Xenopus tropicalis: one gene and its partner. The protein of the gene in region 2 binds, or shares a complex with, the protein of the main gene of each other region. Links are inferred from orthologs where the notes say so. Each region holds a gene or a part of one and is shown on either strand. Other genes may lie near its edges.

What was found.
Region 1: the proteins of nfs1 (region 2) and iscu are in contact, whole or in part, in a crystal structure (PDB 6W1D), measured with the Homo sapiens proteins. The link is inferred for Xenopus tropicalis from reciprocal best matches to the Homo sapiens genes NFS1 and ISCU. Residues at the interface, in NP_066923.3 of Homo sapiens: Tyr360, Val361, Glu362, Glu364, Ser365, Leu367, Met368, Ala369, Lys371, Glu399, Asp400, His403, Ser404, His429, Arg432, Leu433, Glu435, Met436, Ser437, Pro438, Leu439, Glu441, Met442, Trp454, Thr455; in NP_998760.1 of Homo sapiens: Tyr35, Val40, His42, Tyr43, Glu44, Val49, Gly50, Ser51, Leu63, Val64, Gly65, Ala66, Pro67, Ala68, Cys69, Gly70, Val72, Lys74, Phe90, Lys91, Thr92, Phe93, Gly94, Cys95, Gly96, Ile99, Lys135.

The regions. Positions count from the first base shown.
Region 1 is NC_030677.2:146,313,128-146,328,071, reverse strand, and holds iscu (iron-sulfur cluster assembly enzyme ISCU, mitochondrial), read right to left. Parts: upstream 13,277-14,944; 5' UTR 13,248-13,276; coding exon 13,158-13,247; intron 9,047-13,157; coding exon 8,933-9,046; intron 8,149-8,932; coding exon 8,038-8,148; intron 7,733-8,037; coding exon 7,654-7,732; intron 6,859-7,653; coding exon 6,776-6,858; 3' UTR 5,835-6,775; downstream 1-5,834.
Region 2 is NC_030686.2:42,808,266-42,824,238, forward strand, and holds nfs1 (cysteine desulfurase, mitochondrial), read right to left. Parts: upstream 15,931-15,973; 5' UTR 15,910-15,930; coding exon 15,819-15,909; intron 13,842-15,818; coding exon 13,765-13,841; intron 13,079-13,764; coding exon 12,962-13,078; intron 12,422-12,961; coding exon 12,338-12,421; intron 11,574-12,337; coding exon 11,421-11,573; intron 11,340-11,420; coding exon 11,246-11,339; intron 11,121-11,245; coding exon 10,986-11,120; intron 10,498-10,985; coding exon 10,340-10,497; intron 9,372-10,339; coding exon 9,266-9,371; intron 8,540-9,265; coding exon 8,458-8,539; intron 7,923-8,457; coding exon 7,839-7,922; intron 7,384-7,838; coding exon 7,294-7,383; intron 6,798-7,293; coding exon 6,734-6,797; 3' UTR 4,520-6,733; downstream 1-4,519.

The DNA of each region.
Region 1 (14,944 bases), on a different chromosome or scaffold from region 2:
ATGTAAAAGTAACATATGTGCTCTTAGACCGCAGTCAGGGCCGCCATCAGAAACATTGTTATTTGTATGGGGTCCCTTATGAATAAAAGTGCGCATGCCCCTTGTGTAAGCAATATAAACAGCTAATGTTACTCTATAATAAGCAGTTCATACAAATAGTTAAAATGAATAATTAATGTGCTAATAAATCAGTTCATTGGAGGCAGTGGAATTTGCCTTTCTGCATTGTCTTTTGCTTGATATGCAAGTAAAGTAAGTTTCTAGCAACTTTTTGCAGAAGTTATAATATATGTATGTTTTGATACATATCTTACACAATTTGCAGAACATTCACAACGTGGCCAAGCCCCCTTGTGAAAAAGGATCTGACAGGGTCCAGCACAACTGTATACCTTTTCCTTCCCTAATGGCAGCCCTGACTACAGTGGTCAGTAGCATGTATAGCTTCCATGCAACTGTAACTGGCACAATGCTCCGTCAGCAAAGAAATCTAACACTGTTATAATAAAGGATTAAGACAAAAAAAAAGCTTTAAAGAGTAAAAAGCCTGCTTTTTGCTATATAAATAATACTGACATGCCATAAATTATCAAAAACACAGCAGTCAAAAATACAATCTTACATCGGTATTGAAAAGTATTTAAATGGCATTTTAATATCAACAGGGTAATAAAAATGTCATTATTATTATTTGCTTTGATGGCTCATAGGAGGGCAGAGGTTAGAAAGCATTTCATTCATCTGGTTTCAAGCAAATGCAACCTTTCAAAAACATCTCTCTAAATTGGATTCTCTTCAGAGGTTCTCAGTGGCGGAAATACAAATGGCACAAAAAGGAACGGCTAGAAATGTTTGATCTGCTATCCAGGACACTGCAAATAATCACATCCATCTGGATAACAAATGCTTATAGGGTGCAATGAAACATACAGAGCCAGATGGAAAATGTCATTGCCTCCTTTCTGGTGAATGAGAAAGATAAAACTGTAGATGCTGTTTTCTAATGGGAAAGATTTTGCTGAAATTTGGAGGCAATTCCATGTTCAGGCTGCTTTAATAAAGGAGCAGAGGTGGCAAGTGCCCAGGGCTCAGGGGGTTCCACAATCAGCAATTTCTTCTGCAAAAGATTTTAGATGATGCATAATTAGGGAAGAACTGTTGTACATTATATTCTGGGCTTCTGTACCAGCCCAAGGCAACCACAGGCCTTTAGCAGGGAAGATCTGTGCCTCTAAAGATGCCCCAGTAGCCCCCCATCTTCTTTTTGCTGATTCACTGTACATGCTCTGTGTTCCTGATCTTAGTTACTGAGTTTAGGGACTGATGCACAATATACTGTATATATAGAATATAAATGTCACAATATAAAACTGATTTGTATTGAATACAGATTATTCCTACATAGTAGCTCTTAAACCAGTGCAACTAGCATCAGCTTGAAAGGCCAACCTATTTTTTGGCTTGATAATATGTGACTACCCCTAAGCTCAGCTTCTCAACAGCGCCCAAAGCACACTGAGCATGTACTGTAAGTGTCACCGACACTCCTAACTAAATAAATTCAAGATGGGGAACTTTATAAGCCTGGATCATTGCTACTATAGAGATGCTGATACTTTAGGCTGGTGCAGTAAATGCAGTATATAAAATATGGAACTTTCAGCCATATTCATTGGTAGGGTTTAGTCAGCAGAACTGACTAGTAGAGGAAGTGTTAAGGTTGTATTTGCTTTGCGTAGGGGTGGCAAAGGGATCACTCCAACAAAGAAATTCTCTTATTTGTTGAAGGTAAAGGTGTGCTTCTTAACGGTCCAAGTGGAACTGACAAGTCTGGTGGCATATAATGCTATGTAGCAGTTAGCTCTGGTTTGGTTTTCCTAGTGTAGAAGCGAGATAATGTTTCTAAATGTCTGGCGAGAAATATGATATATTGATGACAAAATCAGAAATAGGACACACAAACCAGCTTCACATCTCAGGGTATAAGTGTTAAAAGTTTTTTTTCAATCCCTGATCAAGAAGCAACAGAATTAGCTGATCATTCAATTGCACTTTGTGCATACAACAATCCCTGGTAAAGCTGGGCCCCTTTCTCTTGAACAGAGTTATTGGAGGTCAGATAGAGTTAAAGGGGAGTGTTTTTTTTTTTTTTTTTTTTACTTTTAGTACCCAGGGCTAGGGCCTCAGCTCTTTCCTCTGCTATGTAACCCTTACTTTCCCCAAATTAACTGTCCCCCCCATAGTGCCTTGTAAATTGCAGAGCTGTGCAGTGTGTTGTCACATCTGCTCCCAGGTTGGAATATTTTTCAATGGCTGTAGTTATTCTTAAATATAATTGCTGAAGTACCAGGTAGGTATCAGAGAGCCATCTGCTAATGACAGCATGATGACTATAGAAAGCATGCAGTCCAGTCAAACATGTAAGAGGGTGATATTGATTATTATTCTTTATTTACACAGTGCCCCCCTATTGGGCAGTGCTGTACAGAGATTATACCTTATACACATCAGCTGTTGGATGATCAATATCACTATTGCGACTGCTTTCAGAATTCCTACCGGCACTGGCTGCCCAGTCCTAGCATCTGCCTTGTTAAATGTTCTGCTCATGTAACAATTTCTAACAACTGTTACACAATATAATCTATGTTTTGGGCTTTCAGCCACATTTACCCCCAAAATGCCACTGTGATGTTGAGGGGCCAAGAGAGTTTAAATAAGCAAGTTACTAAATAAAACAAAATTTCTATTTTTCATAATTATGTTTCTTTAATGGAAAATGGTTCCTAAAACACAGTGCAGTATAGAAGTATTTCAATACTGCTTTACTGAACATTTTAATAAATGGTATGTAGTCTATTTAAAGTAGCTCCAGTTTATGACATGCTGAATATCTTTAAGAGGGAGAAAGTTTACTTCAGTAAAAATGTATACACCGCACTACACCATGAGGAAGTATTGATCAAGCAGCTGAGTCGGTGGTACAGTCTATTTTAAAACCTTGGTCTTGTTTCCCCTGCTTTCTGTACAAGACTCTAAAATCCCAGGCAGTTCTCTCACTTCAGAAAATAGGCCAAAGTAAACAGATGCCTGGGCCAACATGCTCAAGCAGTGACGAGATGCCTTAAAAATCCAGTTCCTTTTTTTCTCCCTAGGAAGTAATAAAATCAGCCTACAGAAAGACATTGATGCTCACAATTTTTTCATACTCTACTTGTAACACTGTAACAAAAAAACATTAGCGTTACACAGTTTATGAGTATAAAAAAGAAAAATGTGAGCATCAATGTCTTCCGGTAGGTCGATTTTACTACTCTACAACAGCTTGTGCTGTAATGAAGCAAACCAGAGTCCCCCACCCCAATCATGGTTGTATGGAGAGAACAGGTGGGTACTCCACTTTAGCAGGGTGCCTCCAAGTTGTGGGACTGAAGAATCAGATATTTCTATCTAAAGAATGGGCAAGTGATATACTAAGCACTTTACTGCCAAGGCTCTTTGATCTCACTGCACTGTGTTGGCAGGGTTACGGCACAGATCAAAGAGTAACCCAGAAATGTTAACTCTATGGCGACAGCAGTCGGGTACCTGCAGCAGAGAATTTATGATCTTTGACAGGCAAGGGGGTAAACATATATAACCGAGTGACGTATATGGCCTCACTTCCTGGGTTGATCACACAATCTTCAGACTTAGCTAAGTACCAAAATATAAAGGGTAGCTCACCATGAAATTAACACATTATCAAAATTTAGTAGTATAATGTGCCAACATATCTGTACAAATTAAATCAATACAGGAGATAGTGTTCTTTATGACCATCTGCAATTTGTCTTTCTGCTATGCTACATTCATCTGTTACACCAGACAGACATGCATCCCTCTATGCCAGTTGTTCCTACAGGGGTCTGAAGCATTGAATGGCTGGGGGATGGGGGGGATTCAGCCTGAAAACAAGGTACAGTGAAAATTAGAAAGAATTGCCTGTTTGGGAGGGATATGCCTATAACTCCAATGTGAAAGTGTATTAGTCTGTAATATAGGAAAATAACTTAACTGCTGCCCTGAATATTATCTTTATGACTAAATGGCTAATAAAGTAATACTTTCATATATTTGCAACTTATTTTGAACTAAGGGAGCCCAGTTCAAACAGTGAACCAAAAGATCCTCTCCTGTGTAGTAACAAAATGGTTAGAAATCCCTAACTCACATTCTTTAAGTTGTAACGACCTCTGCTGGTGGAAGGCTTGTTTCCTGCTTCCTTTACTAATACTCGTGAGCATTTTTTTTTTAAGTTTAATATACCCTAGGTTAAAACTGCCAATATTTAACAATTGTGTTTAAAGTAGACATATAGGATTAATGGGAAAAACGCTTTTTGTAGGCAATTATGAATAATATACGGTGCTGGTTTCCTTTTGTGCTAAAAATTAATCCTCTATAAAAATGGCCCCTTTATTGGAGCTCCCTATAGATCGTATCACTTCTCCGTCCCGTGTGAAATGGAGTGGGCGTGTACTAACGGTCCCTGCCAGAAGCACAGTAGGAGGGGTGAGCCAATCACAGCCCTGCAGTCACACAAGCACAGGTCAGCCAAGTTGCTGATTGGTTCCTATCCTACAGTGCAGTGTACTGAGGGCCGCCGGCTCCCCAGCTCATCCAGAGAATTCTGCCAGCAGGAAGTGGAACAGATGGGCGGGGCTATTGGGGTTTTTGTGGAATTTCTCAATAAATCAGTCAGAAACACAATTTTTTAAGCACATTCCTTCTATATCTAGAGGAGTATAATTCACTGGTACATTCATAATTTTTATAGGATATGTCTCCTTTAAAATGGATATCCACCCCACCATATGGATAACAGAAAAAAAAAAAACCAATAAAGCTGCCCATACACTCACCGATCATACAAAACTTAGGTATTGTTTGATTTTTGGACCATGTGTGGGCTTCCAACTATCGTCCTGATAATTTTCATGATTACTTGTTTAGTTGATGGGACGGTTAGAAAATTTTAGTCAGATAAAAATAAAATCTGTGCATGTATTGTGTATCGGACAATATACTTGGGGGGACCTACAATGCATTTCCAGGAAGTCACTTTCGCCAACTATTTCATGTTCAGAACATCCTCCGATTTGTTATTTTTATGGCTTTATCCTACAATTTCAGTCTGAATGTTAGTTTTAGATCGTTGCATTTAAACGTATGATGGATATCTGAATGTCCATCAGAAGAAGGCTAAGATCTGAACATGTATGGCCACCTTAAAAGCAGTGGTTAACCTTTTTAGTTAACTTTTAGTATTTGATAGAATGCCCAATTCTAAGCAACTTTTGGTCTTATTTATTTATTTTATAGTTTTTGAATTACTTGTCTTCTAACTTTTTGCAGCTTTTAAACAGGAGTCACAGACTCCGGCAGCCAAAAAACTACTGCTCTGTGAAACTAAAGTTTTATTGTTATTGTTACCTTAGTAAGGCCTCTCCTATTCATATATCAGTCAACCAAATAGCTGCTGAAACTCCAAACAGGAGAGCTGCTGAACAAAAACTGAAATAATTAAAAATAAAAATAAAATTGCAAATTGTCTCAGCATATCACCCTCTGCATCATAATAAAAGTTTACTTAAAGGTGAACCACCCAATTAAGGCTGTGCTTCCTGCTTCATACTATTTAAAATATTATAAAAGAGTTGTCATAATTTATGGATCAGGCATAAATGGTGCCTATACCATGCTGTACAGTTAGCAAATATGCATATATCTACACACACCCACACAGCAGCAAACTATCTAAAATACAAAAAGACAACACATATAACACTTTCTTTTTTTATTATCTTTTACCAAATATATACAAAAGCAAAAGGCAGCTGGTCAAATGCACTGCATACAAAACTAAGAAGCATCATATAATCCCTGCTTTCGATTCTACCAGTATCATTCTGAGTACTCAAAATGGGGAATTTTCAGGGCTGCTGGTATGATACCTGGAACATGCCACTCCCTATTAAAGGCCCAATGTAATTAACTCAATGTACTTTTCTCTGGCAGGATATGGCTTAGCAAACCCAGTCTTGGTAACAGAAGGAGGGGATCAGGGGCTTCCAGTCAGACATTTAATTTTCAAAAATGAACCTTTCTGAGAACAATTGCATTTCAGTTCAGTAAGAGCCACACAAATTGGATCAGAACACAGTGGCAACGTTTGTTTGATTCTTGTAATTCAGCATGGGTTTTATATTGTATTATGAATGCATAGCCATTTATATACAAAACCGTACAAGACTTATCAAGAACTCAAACATAAGGGTGCTGGAAACAGACGGGGAAAAACCACACATCCTCACAATCGTTGTGCATCTGAAGATGTGCGTTGTGGCATTTCCCAATAATACTTAAACAAAAACTAGATGACTAGATGAAATTTCTATATTACTTTACGTGGAAGGTATGACAAACCTGGCACTGTAATGTAGTGCCATGTGTTTAAACCAGAAATTACATGTGAACAGAGGATAGGTGGAGGTCTTGGACATTAGGGAATAAAGAACAAAATAGTTTTGTTTATACACTCTAAGTATACTCAGCTTGCAAATTGAAAATAATCACATTATTAGGAGGAGATTCACACAGTTTGACAAGCTGCTAAATAATTGTGCGTATCAGAAGTCTGCCATTCAAATGGTAAAGACATGCTTTAATACCCAAAAGAACAGCATAAAGTGACTAAATGTTGCCATTATAGTAGAGCTCACACTCTGCTCAGCTAGCCACTTGCTGCAGCTTCGTCTTTATCCTGCTTCAGTCTGTAATCTGCCAGGGCTGCTCTGATGGCATCTTCAGCCAGCACTAAATAAAATGGAAAAAACATAGGCACAAAAGGTTACAAGAGACAAATCAGAGATGAAATAATGTGCAGAAGAGTTAGATAAATATATTAACTAGTTCATAACTAATACAAGATGTTTAAATAAAATATTTTTCAGTCTTGTTAACTGTGGCAGTGAGTTAGTTAAAAGCCTCTGAAACATTCCCTGCACCTTGTCTTTGGTTGCTTGTTGACAGTATTGCTGCAGTAAACAATATATAATGAGCAGTGGGATATAAGCCTCCCAACTATGCCCTTTAGAGTGATGGCACCCCAGAAAGTCGCCCGCCCAGGATAAATATGCAATCAAAAGAAATGCATACATTTTCCCACCAGCAATCTAAATTATTACATTAATGTTGCCCATGGTAGTGAAGATTTATTTTGAGCAACTAATTTCCGTGTGTGCCATCACTGTTAAAGGTGACAAAAAAATTCCCTCTTCCCATGTTTTCACCTACAGTGCCATCACCACATGAAAACTCCACTGCCTCTCCTATGGAATTAGAGTGACACTTCAAAAAACAGCTGTCAAAAAGCTTAGTCAGTGTGTTATGGCACCTTTAGCACTATTCTGTACACCTCATTGGAAAAGTAAATGAAAATCTACTTTGGGTCCTAGTGAAGGATTCCTAGTGAATCTATGCACCTGATCATAGAAGCTGCTGAGACAAACATTTTCTGCCTAATCTATAAAAAGCATTATTTTTACATAAAAATATGCAGGAAATATGATAACATTCATAAGTCTGGTAATACAGAGCAAAGACCCTTACTGGAACAGTGCAGCTTCACTGGTGGAAGGCAGAGTTCTTTGGCTATGTCTGTATTCTTGATAGTCATAGCTTCATCAACCTGTGTTTAATATAAACAAATAATACAATATTAATTAGCAAAAAAACAGGCCATTACTTTACCCTAAACAGTCTAATGACTCCTGTCTAAGTGTATATGACTTGCCTATCTGAATATACTCATTAGAAACTTTAGAGTGGCAGTAGAGCAGTATTAAAGAAATGCTATTTACATTATAAGTGTAAGTGACTTATTTTAACATCCAAGTCATGTGTGTCTAAATATCATGCTAATTCACAAGGGATAGCTAAATCCCTTACTATAGGGGCAGTGAAGACATTTTATAAAAGCAATTGTCATGTTACCGTTTTTCCCTTAACCCATTCTGTGGCAAGAGAACTGGAGGCAATGGCAGACCCACAACCAAACGTTTTGAACTTGGCTTCAATAATCTTTCCATTGTTGTCCACTTCAATCTGTAAGGTGAAACACAAAGCAAATATCAGTCTGATAATAACTACCATCCCAGTACAGCACTAAAAAATGGGCCTTAGAGGATAAAGTAGCAAGAAGTATAAAAAGTAAAGAATATGCTGTTTGCCAGTGTTGCTTGTTCACTGCATCTGTGTAAAAACTCTTTAAACCTATGTCTTCCATGAAGAAATAATAGTACCTACAACAACAAAGCACTGAAGAAAGCAGGCCAATATAGAGTATGGGAAAACCTGTGTCTAAGGTTCATAATGTCATACATCATGATTTGTGGAAAAAGTTACAAAAACAAAATGTTACGTTTTAAAACTTTATTGGAAAACGGGTGTCCGAGATTCACAATTTTGTCATATGGGAAAATGTCTGCCTGACATGAATTTTAGGAAAAAATTACAAAAACAAAAAGCTAAGTTTTAAAAATTTCCATGTACACAACTAATCTGGTTTTCAAACTGTAAAGTTCATATGCAAATCTGGTGAGTTCTAAGTGAACTCTTTGTCCCCCAATCAGTGCTAAAAAAAACCCAAAATATATCACATGCCAAATTAGCTATATTATACTTATACATCGTTTTAAGTGAGATTTTTAATCTGTAGCGATTCTTAAGAAAATGGTAACCAGTCCTTAGATGACCTAGGTATGGTGGCCCTACAGAATAATGAGCTGTTTCTGTAACCAAGAGGAATATGAAAAACACAAGAGAGCTACAAATCTTAGATTCAACTCTAGTTATGAAAAGCCATTTCACATTAACACTCAGCATTTACCTGTAGTTTCATGACATCACCACATGCTGGTGCTCCCACCAACCCAGTCCCAACATTCTTTGCGTTCTTGTCAAGGGATCCAACATTTCTTGGATTTTCATAATGATCAACTACCTGTGAGGAAATGCCGGTATACAATTTACTTACATAATACAAAGAAGTTTGAAAAACTTGAGGTCTAAGTACTTTTCAGCATGAGAAGGAAACACAGGTCTATCAACTGAAATGCTTGGGAGCTGGTGTGTAGGAATAGGTGGTTTTCCAAAATTTGGATCATACCGTATCTTAAAATAATACTGTCATGGGAAAACATGATTTTTTTCAAACCCATCCGTTAATAAAGCTTCTACAGCAGAATCCTGCATTGAAATCTGTTTTTCAAAAACATTCCTTTGGTGTTTGGCATTCTGCTCATGAACAGTAGAGAACATTTCACAGGTTTCCCCAGTGCACACGCATGAACAGGTATTGACGCAAAAGACACTGGTTGGAATGTAAATAAAATGCTGGCGCAGCGCTGATACCATTTTTTCCCCACAGGCCGGTGCAGTTTTCTTATAACAGGAGCACCAGCCTGGGGAAAAATAGTGATCTGTTTCACTGGAGGTGCCTAATCCACAGCTTAGAGCAGTGATCCCCAACCAGTGGCTAATGCGCAACATGTTGCTCCCCAACCCAATTTTCTATTTAGAAGTACCCAATTAGCACATACTACTAAAAAAGTATATTTTTACGAAAATGGTTTATTTAGATGAAGCAGGGTTTTACTTATGAACTTGTTTATGCAATATATTTTTATAGAGACCTACATAGTTTCCTTTAAATTGTTATTTTTTGTTAACTATTTATATGGCAAAGATTGTTTATGTATTGGTTAATGTGAACATATTTAAGTGTTTTAGAAAAGGTGAACAACCTTTTTAAGTCTACTAAAAAACTTTAAACAATAAACCCACTAGCAATGTTGTGCGACCAATATGGATTTATGCAGCTTAGTTACCGTAAAGTACATGGCATTGTTTTATTACTACTGAGAGAAAGAAAATCCTTTTTACAATTTGCTTAAAATGGAGTGTGCAGACTTTCTGGGTATTGGGTTTCCAGATACGAAATCCCATGCCAGTATACTAGTATCACTAGTCTAATTTTGTTTAAATTTTGTTTAATCAGAGTGAGAGGGAACCTAGGTTGTCATACAGCAAATGTACCTTTGGGCACAACAGAAGGTTTATATCATGCACATTGAGTACAAACATATGTACAGGGGTTTAGTCACCATTTAAATGCTGAGACAAAACAACCAAGCATCTTTAACAAGCAGTTATTTTTGCATGCAGAATGGTAATTTTCTTAACTGTCTGTTTAGAACACACATTTGAAGCATCGGCTTACACTTTGCTACAGATAGATGTATTGATATAAAACCCATGATGTCATAGCTAATGCATCAACATTTTGTAGTCATTTCCAGTTTTATCTTCTCTTAATAGACTTTCATTAGTCCTTATAGAGTCTATTAAGAAGACAATATTTCCTTTGTCCTTAGAGGTGATGTTAATTTAAACAGTTAAAAAATATGCTCTTGAGTGTAATGCAAATAATTCTGAGGCCTGTAATTACACTGGGACAGAAACACAGCAATCTGTATAAATATGGCCAAGGTTACTTGGCCATCTTCTGTGCCCTCTATGATTATGTGACAAGTGACAAATTAAAAAGAACTTGTGGTCTGAACAAGTCACAAGATGTTTACTTCTGCTGCTAATCTTGTGGCAACAAAAAGTCACACATGGTTGCAAATCTATTACAGATGCCAGGGAACAGTGCCAGAGAACAATGAAACCTACACAAACGTAAGCTTGGCCACAAAATCTGAAAAAGTCTAATTAAAGGAGAAGGAAAGGCTAAATCACTGAGGAGAGTCAAATGTTAGGCACAAGGCACCAGTGATTGTAATCACTTACGTGAAACCCCTGGCTGGTGCTCCTGTTACACAGGCAGGTGAGCGATCCTCTTCCTTCCTAACATTTTGGCACCTACCAGTGATTATAACTTTTGTTCTCCTTTAAATTATTACTAACAAAAATGAATTAGTTTAAAAAAAAAAAAAAAATCTGTACAATGTTTTTTTTTTTTTATTGCTTGCTGTGAAAAACTATGGAGTACAAATGGTACTATTCAGCATACAGAGATACTGCTGTTAATAGTGAAATGTTCTGTCACTATATTGACCCACATTTTTATGCCAGCCTTGTTTACAACGTGAATACAAACATTACATTTCTGTAAAATAAGCACCAAACCACTTTTATTGAAATGCTAGATTTAACCCTGTTTTAGGGAGCACTGCATATAATTAGTTAGATCTAGGCCTATATGGGTTAGGGCAGTGACTCCCAACCAGTGGCTCGAGAACAACATGTTGCTCACCGATCCCTTGGATGTTGCTCCCAGTGGCCTCAAAGCAGGGGTTTATTTTTTTAATTTCTGGCTTACAGACAAGTTTTGTTTTTTTTTTTGCATAAAAACTATGTGCACTGCCAAACAGAGCCTCCTGTAGTCTGCCAGTTCACATAGGGGCTACCAAATAACTAAACACAGTCCTTATTTGGTAGCTTATGTACCTTAACTTTGGTACAAAAGTTTTTGTGTAAAATTGCCATTTGCTCAGTTAGTATATAAGCTGCAAATTTAATGGAAGGCAATGAATGCTGAGCCCCTGTAAACACTTGCATCAGATTTTATCTTGTAAACAACAAACATCTGTAATATCTATAGCACAGGCATCACAGTGCTTTAGTTCTTTCAAGGAGAGTTACAAAGGTCAAAACACCTATCCTGACCCATACTTCATTCCCATTCAAAAGAATGGCAAAATCCCTATCTATACTATGTGCTGTCGTATTAACCATCAGAGCATTTTAAAAGTCATATATCTCTAAATTGTTTTAAATACTTTTAACTTTTACTAAATACCGGTGCCAGTGAATATGGGTGTTTTGGTCTTTACCAAATCACAGGATTGCCCTCATCCAGGAAAGATGTAGTTAAATATAATGTCAGGTCTGCCAATCAACTAGCAGCGAAGGAATGAAACTGACCACCCCCAAGATGAAGATTAGCTATCATGCCACAATCCAAATTGTATGTGTTGTTGACACAGGAAAGCAGCCAAAGGAAATAAAGTGGCACAAATTCTTAATGAAAACAAAAAGTAATTTAGAGATGTATAATTTGTTTTTGACAAATGTGTTTTTGCTTGCCAAAAGTGCCTTGTATGAGAAACTCACAACAGGTATTGACAGAAAGATAGCCATGCATACTTTTAATGATATTTTTTGCAAAACTGTCTATAGGGGCAGAAAAATAAGTCTGAGAATTTGGCATCACAACCACAATATTTCCTTTTCCTGAATTCTCCCGTAAATGTCCCCTCATAACCTTGAAACACTTCAGCTACCGTAGTGGTGCAGTGAATTATATTTATATATGTACATTTGATACTGACACTAAAAAACTACTCTTCAAAATACAAATGTCCACGAAAAGTTGCCTATAGGTCATGTTGCTCGTTTTTTACCGAAAGAGCTGCATTTGTGAGTAATTGTTACTTGAAGTCCTAAACCAGTTTTACCAACCTGACTGTCCCTTCTTAGCCAGTCAGTTATAGCTTGTAATTCTAACGGACAGCATGATGAATACTTTTCTGGCAAATTAATCAATAGCATGCAAAGCCTATGGTATGACAGAAGTAAAAAAAAAAAGAATACATTTTTGATGTCAGTATCTCTTATGGCAAACATGTCTTACTTAGCATAAAGTTTTACCATATTCCCTATACCCTCAGAGTGCTAGAGTCAGTCATTGTCAATTCCTATCAGTTGCTAACTCGGCTTCTCTCTTGAGACACCTTTTCTCTCAAGCCATTCGGGGAAGTGAAGCTGACAACCCCACTGGCTGCTGTTACTGTATTTCACCACAACCGAAGCTGACAGCCTTCTATTAAGAATTAAAACGACTCATGTTGTAGTCCTCTGTAAAGATGGTTACGGTGTTAAAAGATAAACGTGTCGGCTTGCATTGGCAATAAGTACTTTATAGTATGGGCTGCGAGGCGAGCGCTGTCACTGTGACACCTGTGTCACCTTATGTAACACTCGTTTCCTGCTCCCACACTACCCTGTTCCGTATTGGCCCCGTACGCCCCACGCACAGCGCTGCATACCTTCTTATGATAAGAAGCACAAGGCACCCGAAACTCGTGCACCCCACATTTTCTCCATAAGGAGCAAAACACCCGGCCCACGCCAGCCATAGCGTCCTCCACTCGCGCAGCTAGCAAATAGGGACGCGGCGTGCCAACGCCACACAACGTGCGGGTCACATGGCCTGAGGGGGCGTAACCAACAATAAAGTTTGTTGCAGCCAGGTTGCGTAATAAGGTTCAGCGTTCTATTATGTGTAACGTTGAAGTGTGGAGCTGTCATGTACTTGGGCTTTAGCTCATTCTGCAGGGATAAGTTTCTTTTGTTGCCCTATAACTTTATTAGGTTTACCAAGTTCAACCGCAAAGTCAAGGGACTCTTTATGCCTATTATCGCTAACGTGGAAGTGGAATTGATGTAGTTTACATCCAGTAGTGTAATAAAGTAGCGCGATATCGGAGTTGGTTTTGGTCAGTTTTTTATTCCAGGCTAGAAGAACCTTTGTACGTATTTGTCATAGACATGGGTGTCCGCAAAAACTGCGGGGAGGAAGAGTCATTAAGTAAAAAGCAAACTGTGTTTTACGTACGTATTAGGTTTATTAGCAAAGCCTGTAACGCTGCTCGCAACTAATAAGTGTAGAACCAGGGGGCTGTTTAAAGTGATGGCTCACCTTTTATTTCACTTTTAGTTTGTTATATAAAGGCCAATTCTATTAAACTTTTCAATTATATATTCTTAAGTCTTTATTATTTGTTTCCATAGTTTTTGAATTACAGTATTTGCCATCTTGTTCTCTTTGCAGCTTTTAAAAGGGGATCACTGACACCTGAGACAAAAAAACTATTGCTCTGTGAAGCTACAGTTTTATTGTTTAATTCTTTTCTCAAGGAGCAGGTAGCTGAGAAAAACCAAGGACAAGCTGGGCAATATGTTACATTTCAACACCGATCTGGGTCAGGTGTGTAGAATTCTAGGGGGGGGGGGGGCAAGTGGCCTTCCTTGCCTCTTTTTGCAGAGGCCTATGGCCATGGACAGTTTGTGCTGGGCCAAGTCGGCTGGGCATCCTAGGCAACCCAGCCAGCCACCTCACCCCTTTGCATGCATGCATGCATGTTGACTACTGGGGAGGTAAATGACGAGTGGGAAGTGGGAGGACAAGAGCCCAGACTAGTGACAGGTTACATTGTACCCTGGGCACATGCCTCTTCTGCCAGACCCATTTCTAGCCCTACAGAAAGTCACTATATATTGGGCTGGTGCAGGGTTGCTTGGGCCTCTATGTGCTTTAAATCAGGGGTTCCCAACCACCGGGCCGGGGACAGGTGCTGGGCTATGGGCTGTGCTGAATCGGGTCACCTCTGGTCCCACACAGCCATGACAACAGCTATGCAAAGCCCAGGAAGCTTTCTACTGATTGCTACAAGGACCAAAGTACTTAAAGGAGAAGTAAAGGCTACCAAAGAGTTAATCTCAAGCTGCAGGCTTACCTTCAGTTGTCTCAATAGTGCCCTCAAGTCTCCCCATATTGCAATCGTTCAGATGATCAGAAGCCAAACGTGAAAAAAAAACGCCGAGCTGGGTAAAGAGGATTCCCATAATGCATCGCTCCTGCACAGACCCTATAACCCAGGACACTAGGCGGCGCATGCGCATGTCTCTCTTCAGTGACACAAGCAGGCATGCTCCCCTACCATCTGAGCTGGCCCCTATGAGCGTGCACCATTAGCCGGACACAGAAGGAGCAGGCGAGTGCTGCGGGGAGCAGGGGGGGAAGTTTGGTCGCCGCAGGGACGATGCTGGGGGG
Region 2 (15,973 bases):
CCCTACTTTTTTATTTTGCCTGTTGAATGTAACTCTAAGGGGCACATTTACTAATCCACGAACGTCCGAAAAGCGCCCGAATGCGTTTTTTTTCGTAATGATCGGTATTTTGCGACTTTTTTGCGCTCAATACGGAAAAATCGCAACAATTCGCAAAAGTCATAATGGCTATGCTAAAGTCACGACAATTCCCGAAAGTCATAATGGCTATGCTAAAGTCACGACAATTCCCGAGAGTCATAACGGCTATGCTAAAGTCACGACAATTCCCGAGAGTCATAACGGCTATGCTAAAGTCACGACAATTCCCGAGAGTCATAACGGCTATGCTAAAGTCGCGACAATTCCCGAAAGTCATAATGGCCATGCTAAAGTCCCGACAATTCCCGAGAGTCATAACGGCTATGCTAAAGTCCCGACAATTCCCGAGAGTCATAACGGCTATGCTAAAGTCCCGACAATTCCCGAGAGTCATAACGGCTATGCTAAAGTCACGACAATTCCCGAGAGTCATAACGGCTATGCTAAAGTCCCGACAATTCCCGAGAGTCATAACGGCTATGCTAAAGTCGCGACAATTCCCGAAAGTCATAACGGCTATGCTAAAGTCCCGACAATTCCCGAGAGTCATAACGGCTATGCTAAAGTCGCGACAATTCCCGAAAGTCATAATGGCTATGCTAAAGTCGCGACAATTCCCGAGAGTCATAACGGCTATGCTAAAGTCACGACAATTCCCGAGAGTCATAACGGCTATGCTAAAGTCGCGACAATTCCCGAAAGTCATAATGGCTATGCTAAAGTCCCGACAATTCCCGAGAGTCATAACGGCTATGCTAAAGTCACGACAATTCCCGAGAGTCATAACGGCTATGCTAAAGTCACGACAATTCCCGAGAGTCATAACGGCTATGCTAAAGTCGCGACAATTCCCGAAAGTCATAATGGCTATGCTAAAGTCACGACAATTCCCGAGAGTCATAACGGCTATGCTAAAGTCACGACAATTCCCGAAAGTCATAATGGCTATGCTAAAGTCACGACAATTCCCGAGAGTCATAACGGCTATGCTAAAGTCACGACAATTCCCGAGAGTCATAACGGCTATGCTAAAGTCACGACAATTCCCGAAAGTCATAATGGCTATGCTAAAGTCGCAAAATGTTTGTTTCCAATCGGATTTTTTCCCATTCAGAATTCGTGGATTAGTAAATCAGCCCCTGAGCAATTTACCAAAATATAATGATGTTAAAAAAAGGCAAAACACAAGGGTAAATGTATTTGCTATTGCAAGCAGTGAAGTCAGTTGATCACACAGTCAGAACCAGCAGTACACAGGCAGACTCCCAATAGCCATTACATACACAAGTAACAATGAATGAATGTACACTGGAAAGCTGCTCATTGTACAATTTGAGTTTCCCTTGGAGTAAGCCTGCAGCACCTACACACACACACACACACAAATAAAACAAATGCTGCAGCGATATCTGGCTTGTAAGTTATGAACTACATCTCCCAGCATCCTCCGTGTGTCACATACAGCACGGCCTACACAACCATAGCTGCGCCCCACAGCAATCCCCTAGCTTTCCCCACACAAGCACAGCAGCAGCAGGTTCCCGCAAATCCTCCCATTTCCAGGCCTGCGCTTCCCCCCCACAGACACGCTGAGGTAATTGGGGGTTCTCTTACCGCTCTTATCTGTTCTACTGAAAGATAACAAGTAAGACAACACTAGGGGAGGGTTCTCTCCCCCTTCCGTTCTTTCGCTTCTCCAACGGCTGAGGCGGGCGACGATATTTAGGGTTTATCGCCACCCTCCTTTCTTCTCCACAGCAGCCGCACAAAGATGGCGGCCGCTCCGCTCGGTGACGTCACTGGGACACTGCTCCTCTCGCTCCCGCGAAAGCGTGTGAGAGGGAGGCTGGAGGGGGCGGGGCGCGGCTCAGGCGGTGCTGTGAGGTAAAAAGGGGTGGGTAACATAACAATACGACCAAGTGTGCCGCTACTGTAGTTATGTTGCCAGATTTTCCACCAAATTGGGCTACTAATTTAAAACCCAGACGGGTTTCCACAGTACAAACCCACCAAGGTACAAGTTTGTGGATTTGGCGGGTTTGTAGTTTAGAAACTAGCCGAAGTTTTATTCCTCTGACATGTCTATCCCAATGCATGCTGGGTAATGTAGTTTGTAAGTTACTATTAGCCTACAGCTAAGATTAAGATAAAACCACAATACCCAGCATGCAATTATAGACAGAAGTTTTCTGTTCCTCTTTGCTGAACCTGAAGCAGCAAAGCTATTATAACCTGAATAGACTGGGCACAGAGGGCAGGTAAACATTAGTCATCCCTACAACTGGAGAGGGGGTGCAGGGCATGGGTAGTGATTATATGCTTTAAAAAGGCATGTTTTCCCATTTATACTTTTATTTTTTATTTATTTATTTATTTAATTGTGTATATTGGGCAATCTGTGGGTTCAGGCAAATGCCAGAGGGGCTGCTGTAAGATGCCATAGTCACTATTTATTGGGCTGGGGGGGCTGTTTGGGCCTCTGGGTACTTGGAATGCCAGGACCCAGGCCCAGACTGGCAATTTGTGGGTTCAGGCAAATGCCAGAGGGGCTGCTGTAAGGTGCCATAGACACTCACTATTTATTGGGCTGGGGGGGCTGTTTGGGCCTCTGGGTACTTGGAATGCCAGGACCCAGGCCCAGACTGGCAATCTGTGGGTTCAGGCAAATGCCAGAGGGGCTGCTGTAAGATGCCATAGTCACTCACTATTTATTGGGCTGGGGGGGCTGTTTGGGCCTCTGGGTACTTGGAATGCCAGGGCCCAGGCCCAGACTGGCAATCTGTGGGTTCAGGCAAATGCCAGAGGGGCTGCTGTAAGGTGCCATAGTCACTATTTATTGGGCTGGGGGGGGCTGTTTGGGCCTCTGGGTACTTGGAATGCCAGGGCCCAGGCCCAGACTGGCAATCTGTGGGTTCAGGCAAATGCCAGAGGGGCTGCTGTAAGGTGCCATAGACAGTCACTATTTATTGGGCTGGGGGGCTGTTTGGGCCTCTGGGTACTTGGAATGCCAGGGCCCAGGCCCAGACTGGCAATCTGTGGGTTCAGGCAAATGCCAGAGGGGCTGCTGTAAGGTGCCATAGTCACTATTTATTGGGCTGGGGGGGCTGTTTGGGCCTCTGGGTACTTGGAATGCCAGGGCCCAGGCCCAGACTGGCAATCTGTGGGTTCAGGCAAATGCCAGAGGGGCTGCTGTAAGGTGCCATAGACAGTCACTATTTATTGGGCTGGGGGGGCTGTTTGTGCCTCTGGGTACTTGGAATGCCAGGACCCAGGCCCAGACTGGCAATCTGTGGGTTCAGGCAAATGCCAGAGGGGCTGCTGTAAGGTGCCATAGACAGTCACTATTTATTGGGCTGTTTGGGCCTCTGGGTACTTGGAATGATATGCAGGTCAGAAAAACTGCAACCCGCATCAACTTGTACAATGTTACCACTACAGGAACCTGTACCTGTGTATTTCTGCTCCATATACTACTCTGCTTCAAAGAAAAAGAATTTTCAGAAGCAGAAGACAATTGCCCTCCCTACTCCCAACCTAAATGCACACTGGTCACCCAAACTTAACCTAAACCCCCGGCTCCAGATGGTTTTGGCTCAACCGAGCCATGCCTGCTCATTTCCTATATAGAGCAATGTTTTATGCACACAGTTACCAGGCTATTAAATTCTACCAAGAAATATCTACTGTGGCCTATCCTGTACCATGTTTCATTTTACAATAGGAGGTAAATTATAAACTATATTATACATGACCACACCTATCAGTACATATAAAACTATATGCATATACCTATACAGCTATGGGACCTGTTACCTAGAATGCTTGGGACATGCAGTTTTCCAGATAAGGGGTCTTTTTGTAATTTAGATCTCCATACCTTAAGTCTACCATAAAAATCATTTAAGCATTAATTAATCCCAATAAAATTGTTTTGCTTCCATTAATTTTATATCAGTTGGGATCAAGTACAGGCACTGTTTTATTATTACAGAGAAAAGGGAATCATTTAACCATTAAATAAACCCAATAGGGCTGTTCTGCCCCCAATAAGGGGTAATTATATCTTAGTTGGGATCAAGTACAGGTACTGTTTTATTATTACAGAGAAAAGGGAATCATTTAACCATTAAATAAACCCAATAGGGCTGTTCTGCCCCCAATAAGGGGTAATTATATCTTAGTTGGGATCAAGTACAGGTACTGTTTTATTATTACAGAGGAAATTATTTTTAAAAATGAAAGTTATTTGCTTATAATGGAGTCTATGGAAGATGGCCTTCCCGTAATTTATAACTTTCTGGATAACAGATCCCATACCTGTACAAAGCTGTATATCAGAATATCACTGTTGCCTTAGTTATCCAATCTATAGCTGCCAAAGTAATGGTCACATTGCTTTATTCTTGTGATTTTTAAAACCAGAAGGAAACTAAAAGAGGGCATTGTCAGAAACACATTTATTTTCTTCCAGGTATAGTACATGAATGCCAGTGTATACCAGCCACAATCAACACCAGTGGGTTTTACAATGTATGCTTTACTTAATAATAATAAAGCTTTACTTTATTTTTATAGAATTACACTCTAAGGCAGTTTTCATCAACCCATAGCAACCAGAGAACAATGTCAGTCTCACTTTTGACGGAGGACCAATTAAGAAATAAAAAGACAAACAATACAAACACAAACCAACAAAAAAAAATAAAATAAAAGGTGGCCATACACAGGATGATTCGCTCATTTGGCAGGGTCACCAAATGAGCAGATCTTCTTCTGATATGACCACCTAAAGGTGGGTGATATCAAATTACAAGGCATAGGCACTGTCAGATCGAGGACCGCATCAAGAAGCCAATGTGGTCCCGATCCAGTGAAAATTGAACCTACCCGATCAAGATCTGCCCAATTTTAGAACAGATAGGCAGCTGAAATCTGCCCATGTATGGCCATCTTAAGACCAACTGCTAAATTCCATAACGCTAAAGGTGAAATGCCTCTTCTGCTAAGATCAGACCAAAATATCTAGGCTTAAGACAACAGAGACCCCAATGCTCAATAACTGCCCCACAAGAACTCACACACATTAAGCATATTGCATCAAGTTGGAGAGCGCAGTGCCTCCTTGTGCGTATAGAGAATGCAATACATAATGGGTGTGGTTTTCCCAGTAAGGACTGGTTGATATTAGCGTCACTTATGTCGAACAGCCAACAAGAAAGAATCTGTAAATTGTAGTAATTGTAGATTTATTTATTTACATTTTTTTTTTTCAACTAAAATATATTTTCTTCTTGTAAATAGGCAAAGTCCAGCAAAGGACCCAGGAAAGAATCACCCTTTCTCATGCTACAAAAATATATTAATACTATTATCCTCTGTATAACCTTTTCTAGCAAGGCAGCACAGGGAAGAAGGTGAGTTTAGGGTAATGTATTTAAATGGAATCTGCCTTATTTTAAACAGATTATATTTTCTGGTATGATCTATATATTCATGTATTTTTTAACCCTTACTTTCCACCTAAGAATAATGAAGGAAACTGGGCCCTTCCTACAAGACTAGTATGGCTGATTATCAGGCAGGCTTGGAAATCACATTGGTCAAGGAACATATGAGCAGCAGACAGTGCCCCACAAGTTGGCAAAAAAGACGCTCCTTGTAAATTTAAGAGACATATTTCTGGTTATAAAACAGAAATTTGTCTCTTCTAGTCAGATAGGGCAACTGCACTCTCTGCGTTAGTGATGCAGCCCCCCCAGACCCTGTAAGTTCTGGGGGCGCCATCACAAGAGCCACCTCAAAAGGATAGAATTGCCCCTCTGGGCTCGTTGACGTTTCCTCTCCTGACTAGTCTCTCTGTAGGACCATAGAATGATTTGATTGTTGCCCTTGGGTGGGGGGCAAATGATTGGATCAACCAGATTTGACATATACTTGTTTAGCAACCTCATCATATGAGCAGACCTTTATGTGTATGGTCAGCATAAGGCAAATAAGGAAAAAGTTTGTTATACATGGTGTTTAACTAGGAGAGGAAATTTTTGCAGGAATGTAATTCTAAAACTGATTGGCACTAAAGTTATATTGTCTCCCCCGAGCCCCTTCACTTTTGTAGACCACCAGCAGTGTTTCAGTAGCAGCGATTAGGCCAAAGCACTAACGTTTGCCCTATAGTTTGCCAAGCCCCACATCACCGATACATCTAGGAGGGCCACAGGTTGCCCAAGTCAGGCTTAAATACAACTGTTAAAAATTAGGGTTAAATTGAGCAGTAATAGTGCATCCCCTTTATACAGCAACTATTTACACACTACTCATAAGGATCAAACATGTTTTTTCTGTTTTATGTTTAATTTAGTTAGGTTTGGTTTTTATCCAGGCTCTGCATACCCTTTCATTGTACTGTAGTACAGAAACCTTCACTGTTTCACGCAGGCGTAATATGAAGGCAACCACTGTGTATATTACTCGAGCCTTGTTCTATAAGCTCAATACTACACGGAGAGTCGAGGCTACAAAGATCAGACAATGGCATCTCCGGAAGCAAAAGGCTGGTAACTAAAGTAATAGCAAGAGTTTGTGTAACAGAGGCCATAGCACAGAGCTATATGGCACAGAATCCAGCTGGAACCGATCCCCTGTAGGCTGCCGTTTAGTGCTGAGTCCACTTTATGCTCTTTAAGTCAATTCCGTCCTGGACCATCTCCCATAACGGGCTGCAAAGAAATCAGAGAAGGTGAATCACTGCTATATAAATCCAGAACAAAACTGGGCCCACAGTGGGGAAAATTTGCACATCATCAAGGAACATTAATGTCTACATCACATTAAAGGTTAATTCTGAAAAGAGAACCCTCACCCTTTATAAACATTCTTTAGGTGGCCATGCAATGGCAGATTTAAGCTGCCGATTTGGCATCTTATCTGCCCGTGTATGGGGCCCTCAAATGCGCCTCCCTAACCGATATCTGCCCAAAAATTGGCCAGATGTTGATTGGGCCAGGATTGGACCGGATTACTCCGATATTGTCAATCTAAGGGGGTATATCGGAGAAAAGATCCAATCATTTGCTGACCTCATCAAACAAGCGGATCTTATACTGTATGGCCACCTTTAGTCAGTAGTTCCTGCTTAAAGCAGACTACCTATATCAACTACTGACGAGTATTCCTTTAATCATTCCCTCTAATTACAGCGTATATCTTCCTCACCTCATCTCCCGCAGCCGTTTTACTTCTTCAACACACTTTTTGACTGTGTAATCAACTTCTTCCTCAGTAGTAAAACGCCCAATGCCAAATCTAATGGGCAGAAATTACAATTTACATATAATTTTGAAAATATACAAAGTTCCACAGTCTCAGCAGGGCTATAAAATAGAAGGGTTTATAAATCACACATACAGCTTACATATACATAGACACATTTAAGATCATATCTGGTCAATGTAAGTCCTAGACATAGATAGTAGAATTTCTCACATGCACACCCAAACCTCTCCAGCAAGTTAGGGGGGACGGCACCAGTGTCAAAACGCTGAACCAAAAGGGATTACCAGCACAGTGACACACAAGGGTGGATTCCCTGCTTGTAATCGCAAACACTGCGCTGGTAATTCCTTTTGGTTCCTAGACTTTTAGTTGCCTTGATGTATGGTGCTTCACATTACGGAAAGATCATTATCCTATTTGGGCACAAAACATTCTTCCAAACATAAAACAAGTAGCAAATTAAGATACAGTGAGTAAAAACAGACCTTATAGATGAATGCGCCAAGTCCTCATCAGCACCGATCGCACGCAAGACGTAAGATGGCTCCAGAGAAGCGGACGTGCAGGCGCTAGAGGCAGAGGGAAAAAACAGTTATTCCAATCACAGAGAAATTTTTTTATTTAATCTAAATTTAAAAAAGTGTTTCTTACAGCATTGGATCCCCCTAAAATTGGCTGTATAATTAAATATATATATGAGGCAAAGGGGTTGCAAGGAGTTACAGGACGCTGTGTGTTAGTAGGGCTATAACTTACCAGGCATTGAGATTCTGGCTGTTGGAAGTGATATATATTAATATCAGTGCTTTACAACTGTGAGGCTGCACTGGATCAGGAGCTGGGGTGAGATTTTGGGGGAATGCCTATTGCCAGCTTGGAGAAAAGTCTGAGAGTTGGAGTAAACATGTATTTGCTTTCCTAGATGTTCTTGGAACTGTGGCTGTATGACTGATAGATCAATGTTTTCCCATACATATAACATGAGCTGAGAGTGTCCCTGCCTGAAGGTTGGACCTCAGATGGGGGTTTGAATAGAGAGACTAAGAAACACTGAATTAAGCTGCCATTTAATTACAAAACAGAAAACAAATGTGTGCTCCATACCTTCCAGATGATAAGGCCACATCTTTAAGGGCCATCAGTAAGCTTTCCCCTTCCACATAAGCAAAGGAAAGGTTTATGCATCCTGTGGGGGCAAGAAAGTGTGATTATTTTACAGTTATATAATGGCCACAGTTTACATATCCCAAAAGCTACAGTTTCAACAGTCAGAAAAATGTTAAGTTCCATCACGGAAAGTAAGACATTAATCACAGTGACTGATGCAAACTACAGGTCATATACAAAGACAGATGGAAGACTGTAACCAGACCATAGGAAAACTTGGCACGTAGGGTGTTCTGCCCACTACAAGCAGTCAAACACCCCCTTTGCCTGTTACAGTTCCTAACGTTATACAATGGCAAGTGAACATTTGGGCACAGAGGTCTAACTGTCACAGATGAGTGTGTGTGCCACCCAAGGCCATTAATGTTGTGACAGGTGGAGATGGGCTTACAGCTGGAGGGCACTGGTGGTCAAAACACCCCGAAAACCTTAAGCTATGTGGAAAAGAATCCCAGTAATTGTCTGAGTCAGGAAATGTAACCATACAATAAGCCCCGTAATATAAGCCTGACAATTCATTTCATGCCCTTACAAGAGGACAGGCTGTTGGCTTACATACGGGACATTATTTTCTAATCAAGTGGCAAGGTGGCTACTTTCCGGTTCTAAGATTTTAGCTTTACCTGCCCTGACTTTTCAATGTTTACAGCCATTTTTGATGCCCACCATACAAATCAGTGTATTAGGCACAAATAACAAAGTCCCTTAGCTTAACAAATGCAGCTGGGGGAGGGGAAGGTATTACCTGGGTACCGATGCTCTGCATCTCCGTTTAAAACAACTTCAGGAATTTGGCTCATTATATTCTGGGTGAGTCTTTTGGCTAGAGCACTGATTCTTCTGTGATCATACTGTAACATAGATGTACAATTGTAGAGTATTAATGCGCCAATGCACAGGAGATAGTACTCATTTCTGCAACATTTCTCCACAGCAGCAAAAGCAATAAAACACATGGTTTAGGGCATGGTTTCCTCTCAAGGCAACTTTCGGGGGAAATTCCACTGGCGATTTACATTCTCGCCGGTGGGATGGCATTTCGGGGAGATTAGTCGCCCGCAACAAGGGAGATTTGTCGCGGACGACTAGTCTCCCCGTGTGCCAGAGCCCTTAATATAATTTGTATTGTATTTTTTTTTTTTTAACATGGGTGAGAAGACTGAGAACTGCTTAGGTTGTTCACCCTGCCAATAAAGTAAGATGGGGGCACTGTGATTCTGATTCTCCATTCAACATGAAGAATCTCAATTTCCTTTCATAAATGGATTACACACATGTATTTTGGAAATTCAAAATCACTGGGGGCCAATTTGTTAGGTACCCACTTCAGTAACTACATTTGCACCCCAGGTTGATGCCTCTTTTACTCCATTTACTCAGCTATCCCTTGCTCCTCCCGGACACATGTACAGCATAGTAACTTATCAGGCACAGCTGTACTGCACTGTACATCTGGAAAGAAATGTGTGCCCCACCCAGTAATGTGGCAAGCCTTCTCCTGTAAGATATGCTCCAATATTTTTTCTATTCGCTCCCCTGTATCCAGAGGGTTCCAGAAAAGACCATCAGCACTGGCTAGTGAACTTTTATGTTGTGCCTAAATGTGAATCTACACAAATAAAGATTAAAAAAAATAAACACTTAAGGAACAAGCAGATGAATCTAGCGGCTTCAGTTCCCCTTTAGTACAGGAATAAACTGAATCTGCTACATAAACAAGGCATGGCATGTCACAAATATAAAGAGAAAAATCCCAGTGCCGCCTGCATACAGGCAGGTAATTGGCTGGGTCAGACTGGTGTTTATTATGTGTACTTACCTCTAGCTCTTCCTGAGACACTTTGCATGCCGCTCCGAGACCAACAACAAGAGGTGCTGGCACCGTCCCAGAGCGCAGGCCTCGCTCTTGGCCCCCACCACTGATTAAGGCCTCCATTCGGACTCTGGGTCTACGTCGGACATAGATTGCTCCGACTCCTGAATATAAGGAAGTATCATTGTAATAAAGCTTTACAACATGCCTATATAAAAGACACATGGCCTACACAGATGATGGAAATACATCGCAAACACTTAAATGGGAAGACTGAATTGAACTGAATTAACTTCTAGTACATTCCAAATGTCTTCATATTTTTAAACTTTTTCAAATATTAGCCTTTAAATTCTGCTCCTGTCCAGCCTGCAAATGGGAAGGCTCTCTGGTTACTGGACTCACTGTCCCTGGTCACAGAACTCCAGAGACTTCCAATAGTCTTATCATTTTTTACGTGTATCTATCCCTCGATAATAATAATAATGATGATAATAATAATCATGTACTTTATTTATACAGGTATCAGAGATTCCTGACTGTACTAGATAAGAGAATAAGAGTTGGATTTTTGCATTTTAATACTGCTGAATGAAAAGGTTAAAAGATAAAGAGGCAATAAGATATAGAGGCAATAAATTCTATCCAGTACCTTTGGGTCCATAGATTTTATGGCCACTGATACTCATCAGGTCAATCTTCATTTGGTTGACATTAAGGGGAATTTTGCCAACGGCCTGAGCTGCATCTGTGTGGAAGAAGATCTTGCGGGAGCTGCAGATCTGCCCTGTGGGAGGAGGGGAGAGACAGGAGTATAGAAAATACCACCGTACACAACCAGCCAAGTGGAATTTCTGGTTCTGGTTCTGTAAGGAACCCCCAGAAGCACATACTGACAGAGGGTACAATTACCTATCTCTTGTATGGGCTGCTTTACGCCTATCTCATTATTCACAGCCATTATAGATACCAGGCTTGTATCCGGCCGGATGGAATCTTCTAACACCTAAAGACAAGGATTGGATGAGACTCAGTGGGCAACAGAGCGCAATCATGGTAGTTAAGGAAATCGGCACTGTCACCTCACCTTTAAATCCACGAGGCCATTCTTCTGCACAGGCAGGTACGTAACTTGGAATCCCTCGGCCTCCAGGGAGCGGCAAGAATCCAGCACGCACTTGTGTTCCGTCTGGGTTGTTAGAATGTGTCTCTTGCGTGATTTGTAGAATTTGGCAACACCCTTCACGTAATGCAGAGACCTTAATGAGACGTGTGGCATTTGCTTCTTAACGTACAAAATTATATTTTGAGGAATTATGGCCATGGGGAAAATGCAAATAACTAGGAAGTGAAATGATATTCACAATGGGATTCAATCCTACCTGATCCCCATTGTAAGCAGCAGTCCTGCCCTGCTTTATGGCTGAGATTCTAGCTATCTGTATAACAGAGCATTCTGTCACAGTGGCACAGATCCTATCTGATCCCCCCATTGTAAGCAGCAGTCCTGCCCTGCTTTATGGCTGAGATTCTAGCTATCTGTATAACAGAGCATTCTGTCACAGTGGCACAGATCCTATCTGATCCCCCCATTGTAAGCAGCAGTCCTGCCCTGCTTTATGGCTGAGATTCTAGCTATCTGTATAACAGAGCATTCTGTCACAGTGGCACAGATCCTATCTGATCCCCCCATTGTAAGCAGCAGTCCTGCCCTGCTTTATGGCTGAGATTCTAGCTATCTGTATAACAGAGCATTCTGTCACAGTGGCACAGATCCTATCTGATTCCCCCATTGTAAGCAGCAGTCCTGCCCTGCTTTATGGCTGAGATTCTAGCTATCTGTATAACAGAGCATTCTGTCACAGTGGCAGAGATCCTATCTGACCCCACCCCATTGTAAGCAGCAGTCCTGCCCTGCTTTATGGCTGAGATTGCAAAAACTTCCCTACACTTAATACTGAAACATTGTGGCATGACAGCATCCCTTTAAACCACCGCTGTTACCTTAAGTGCTAGATTATTGGATTCTGTGGCGCCGCTTGTAAAAATGATCTCCCTTGAATCTGCTCCGATCAGAGAGGCAACTTGCTGCAGAAATGAAGAAAACTGGAGTTAATAGGAACTCATAAAAGCTGACAGCACTTTCCAAATGTAAAAATCCCTTATTTCATTAATCCAGGCTACAGTACTGAGCAATATTTACCATATGTAGCTTGCCAAATACTGCCATCTAGTGGCCCAAACTACCAATGAATTAGTTTTTGAAGACTTTTAATAACAAATGTGGGCAGCGGATCATTTGATATCCAAGCACATAATGTGGCTGGTTGTGGGCCACAAGCTGCCACATTATGTGCTTGGATATCAAATATCAGATTCTTATAAAACATTGATGTTGTACAGAACATTCTGAGCTCATCTTCCTTGTGATAGAGGCCATAAAAATCTTCTGGGGGCCCCAGGAGATTTTTATGGCCTCTATCACAAGGAAGATGAGCTCAGAATCTTCTGTACAACATCAATGTTTTATAAGAATCTGACCCCCAGCCCACAAACACGTAAAAGAGCAGATAACTGGAGTGGCCCACAGCATATAAAATACAGGACACAGTTCTTGCAATATACTACCTCACGAGCTTTCTCCACAGCTTTCTCAGTCTCCCAGCCATACGCATGGGTCCTCGAGTGGGGGTTTCCATAATAGTTTACCATATAAGGCAACATTCGGTCCAATACCCTGGGATCCTGTAGGCCGAAAGATCATTGAAAAACGCTCTAGATAATCCATTACATTCTTTAGAAACAGGACCTTTAAAATAAGGATGCAGTCCTGTCCTGCTTTATGGCTGAGTTAGAAAACTTGAAACCCATTCTTTACATCACTGCACGAGTTTGAACTATTTACCGGATTAATTGGTATAGAAAAAGAAAGATTAGCAAGGCAACTGAAGCAGCATCGCAGCAGTTTTAAAATAAGTCCTTCATAATAACTGTATTACCACAGCACACTGGCAGATTTCAGACATTTTGTCAAAATGCAGGAATTGCCCTTCTCTGCTGAAAGAAGACCAATATTACCCTGTGTATTACCCTTCCCTACCCTATTAGAAGCCCTTCATAATAAAACATTGTGGCCGGACAGTGTCCCTTTAGGGTAAGAATCCACGGAGCGACTAACCACTCCAAAATGGCTTTCCACCGGGACAATAGGAGTCACTGGTGAAAAGCCATTCACATTGCAGTCCTGCCCTGCTTTACGGAAAATGAAGCGATGAGAAGGGCTTTCCCCTAGTGCCACATATTGTTGCTGGTGGAAAGCCCTTTCGGTCCGCGGGTTCTTACCCTTAAGCCAGAGCACAGCATTTGGTTTTGATGGGGATCAAAGCAATCAACAATAGTCATGGAATGAAATACGATTGGCAGATACAGACCAATGAGGTTGTCGCCTGAACATCCATATATAGAGGGCGGAGATTCGACTCCTCTGGCTTCTTCTGAACCCGCCACTCTGCAGAAAAATTATGAATAGAAATAAAAATGTGTTTCATTGATTGGCGCCAGTGTTCCCAACGCAGTGCAGCCCGAGGGCCCCAATATCCCGGCCATTCAGTATTGGCTTTTCCCTTGCGTACAGAGATTTCTTTAGACTCTCGGAATCTGTTAATGATATTATGTACTGTAGCTGAGGAAATGAGTGTTTGCAATTTTATGTTGAGGAACTTTGCAAATCATCCCATTCTCTTTTTATTGCATGTAACACAGCGTGACAATAGGTTTGGGAAATGGCCTGGCACACAGTATTGCCCCCCTCTATACCAGGCCTTAACTGTCCCAGTCCCTTGGAATAACCTGCAATGTATGTTTGTGCATATACCTGCCCCAAATGTCTCCTTTATTCTACAAATTACACCCTATTTCCCCACCTAACTGCTCTTAGCTCCTCCCCTTGTTTCCACAGAAACAATCCTATCTATGGGCCTTATTAGTTCATCCTGTGCCCCTCCATGCCTACCCCTAATCCCTCAGTGCCCCCCATGCCTACTCCTAATCCCTCAGTGCCCCCCATGCCTACCCCTTATCCCTCAGTGCCCCCCATGCCTACCCCTAATCCCTCAGTGCCCCCCATGCCTACCCCTAATCCCTCAGTGCCCCCCCATGCCCTACCCCTAATCCCTCAGTGCCCCCATGCCTACCCCTAATCCCTCAGTGCCCCCATGCCTACCCCTAATCCCTCAGTGCCCCCCATGCCTACCCCTAATCCCTCAGTGCCCCCCATGCCTACCCCTAATCCCTCAGTGCCCCCCATGCCTACCGCTAATCCCTCAGTGCCCCCCATGCCTACCCCTAATCCCTCAGTGCCCCCCATGCCTACCCCTAATCCCTCAGTGCCCCCCATGCCTACCCCTAATCCCTCAGTGCCCCCCATGCCTACCCCTAATCCCTCAGTGCCCCCCATGCCTACCCCTAATCCCTCAGTGCCCCCCCATGCCTACCCCTAATCCCTCAGTGCCCCCCATGCCTACCCCTAATCCCTCAGTGCCCCCCATGCCTACCCCTAATCCCTCAGTGCCCCCCATGCCTACCCCTAATCCCTCAGTGCCCCCCATGCCTACCCCTAATCCCTCAGTGCCCCCATACCTACCCCTAATCCCTCAGTGCCCCCCCATACCTACCCCTAATCCCTCAGTGCCCCCCATACCTACCCCTAATCCCTCAGTGCCCCCCATGCCTACCCCTAATCCCTCAGTGCCCCCATGCCTACCCCTAATCCCTCAGTGCCCCCCATGCCTACCCCTAATCCCTCAGTGCCCCCCATGCCTACCCCTAATCCCTCAGTGCCCCCCATGCCTACCCCTAATCCCTCAGTGCCCCCCATGCCTACCCCTAATCCCTCAGTGCCCCCCATACCTACCCCTAATCCCTCAGTGCCCCCCATACCTACCCCTAATCCCTCAGTGCCCCCCATACCTACCCCTAATCCCTCAGTGCCCCCCATACCTACCCCTAATCCCTCAGTGCCCCCCATACCTACCCTAATCCCTCAGTGCCCCCCATACCTACCCCTAATCCCTCAGTGCCCCCCATACCTACCCCTAATCCCTCAGTGCCCCCCATGCCTACCTTAGTACCAACCTAACCAGACCACACTAAAGCCCCCATCCCTGTATGCCCTCAGCACCTCACTGCCCATAGCCCTTAATTACATTGCTTACCTGCCCCCACATGACACCATTACAGTTGCCCCAGAACCCCTAAATACCCCAGACATTAACACCTTACTGTCCCCACACTTATATGACAGCAGTGAGAAGCCCTATTTGCCCCCAGTCCTGTCACCCACCACAGGTCATGTGACGAGCTGCTTCCCCACGGTGCGGCCTCCCCTCTCCCCACGGTGCGGCCTCCCCTCTCCCCCCTGCGGCCTCCCCTCTCCCCCCTGCGGCCTCCCCTCTCCCCCTGCGGCCTCCCCTCTCCCCCTGCGTACCTCTCCTTTCCCCATGACAGGCCCTGACACCGCGGCTTTGCTCGCAACTCCCCGCCCTCAGGAGGCCCCGGACGGCTCCCCGGCTCAGCATCTCCCCCAGTGCAGCGCTGGGACTTGTGTAACAGGACTGGGTACAACACAGGTAGGCCGGGGGC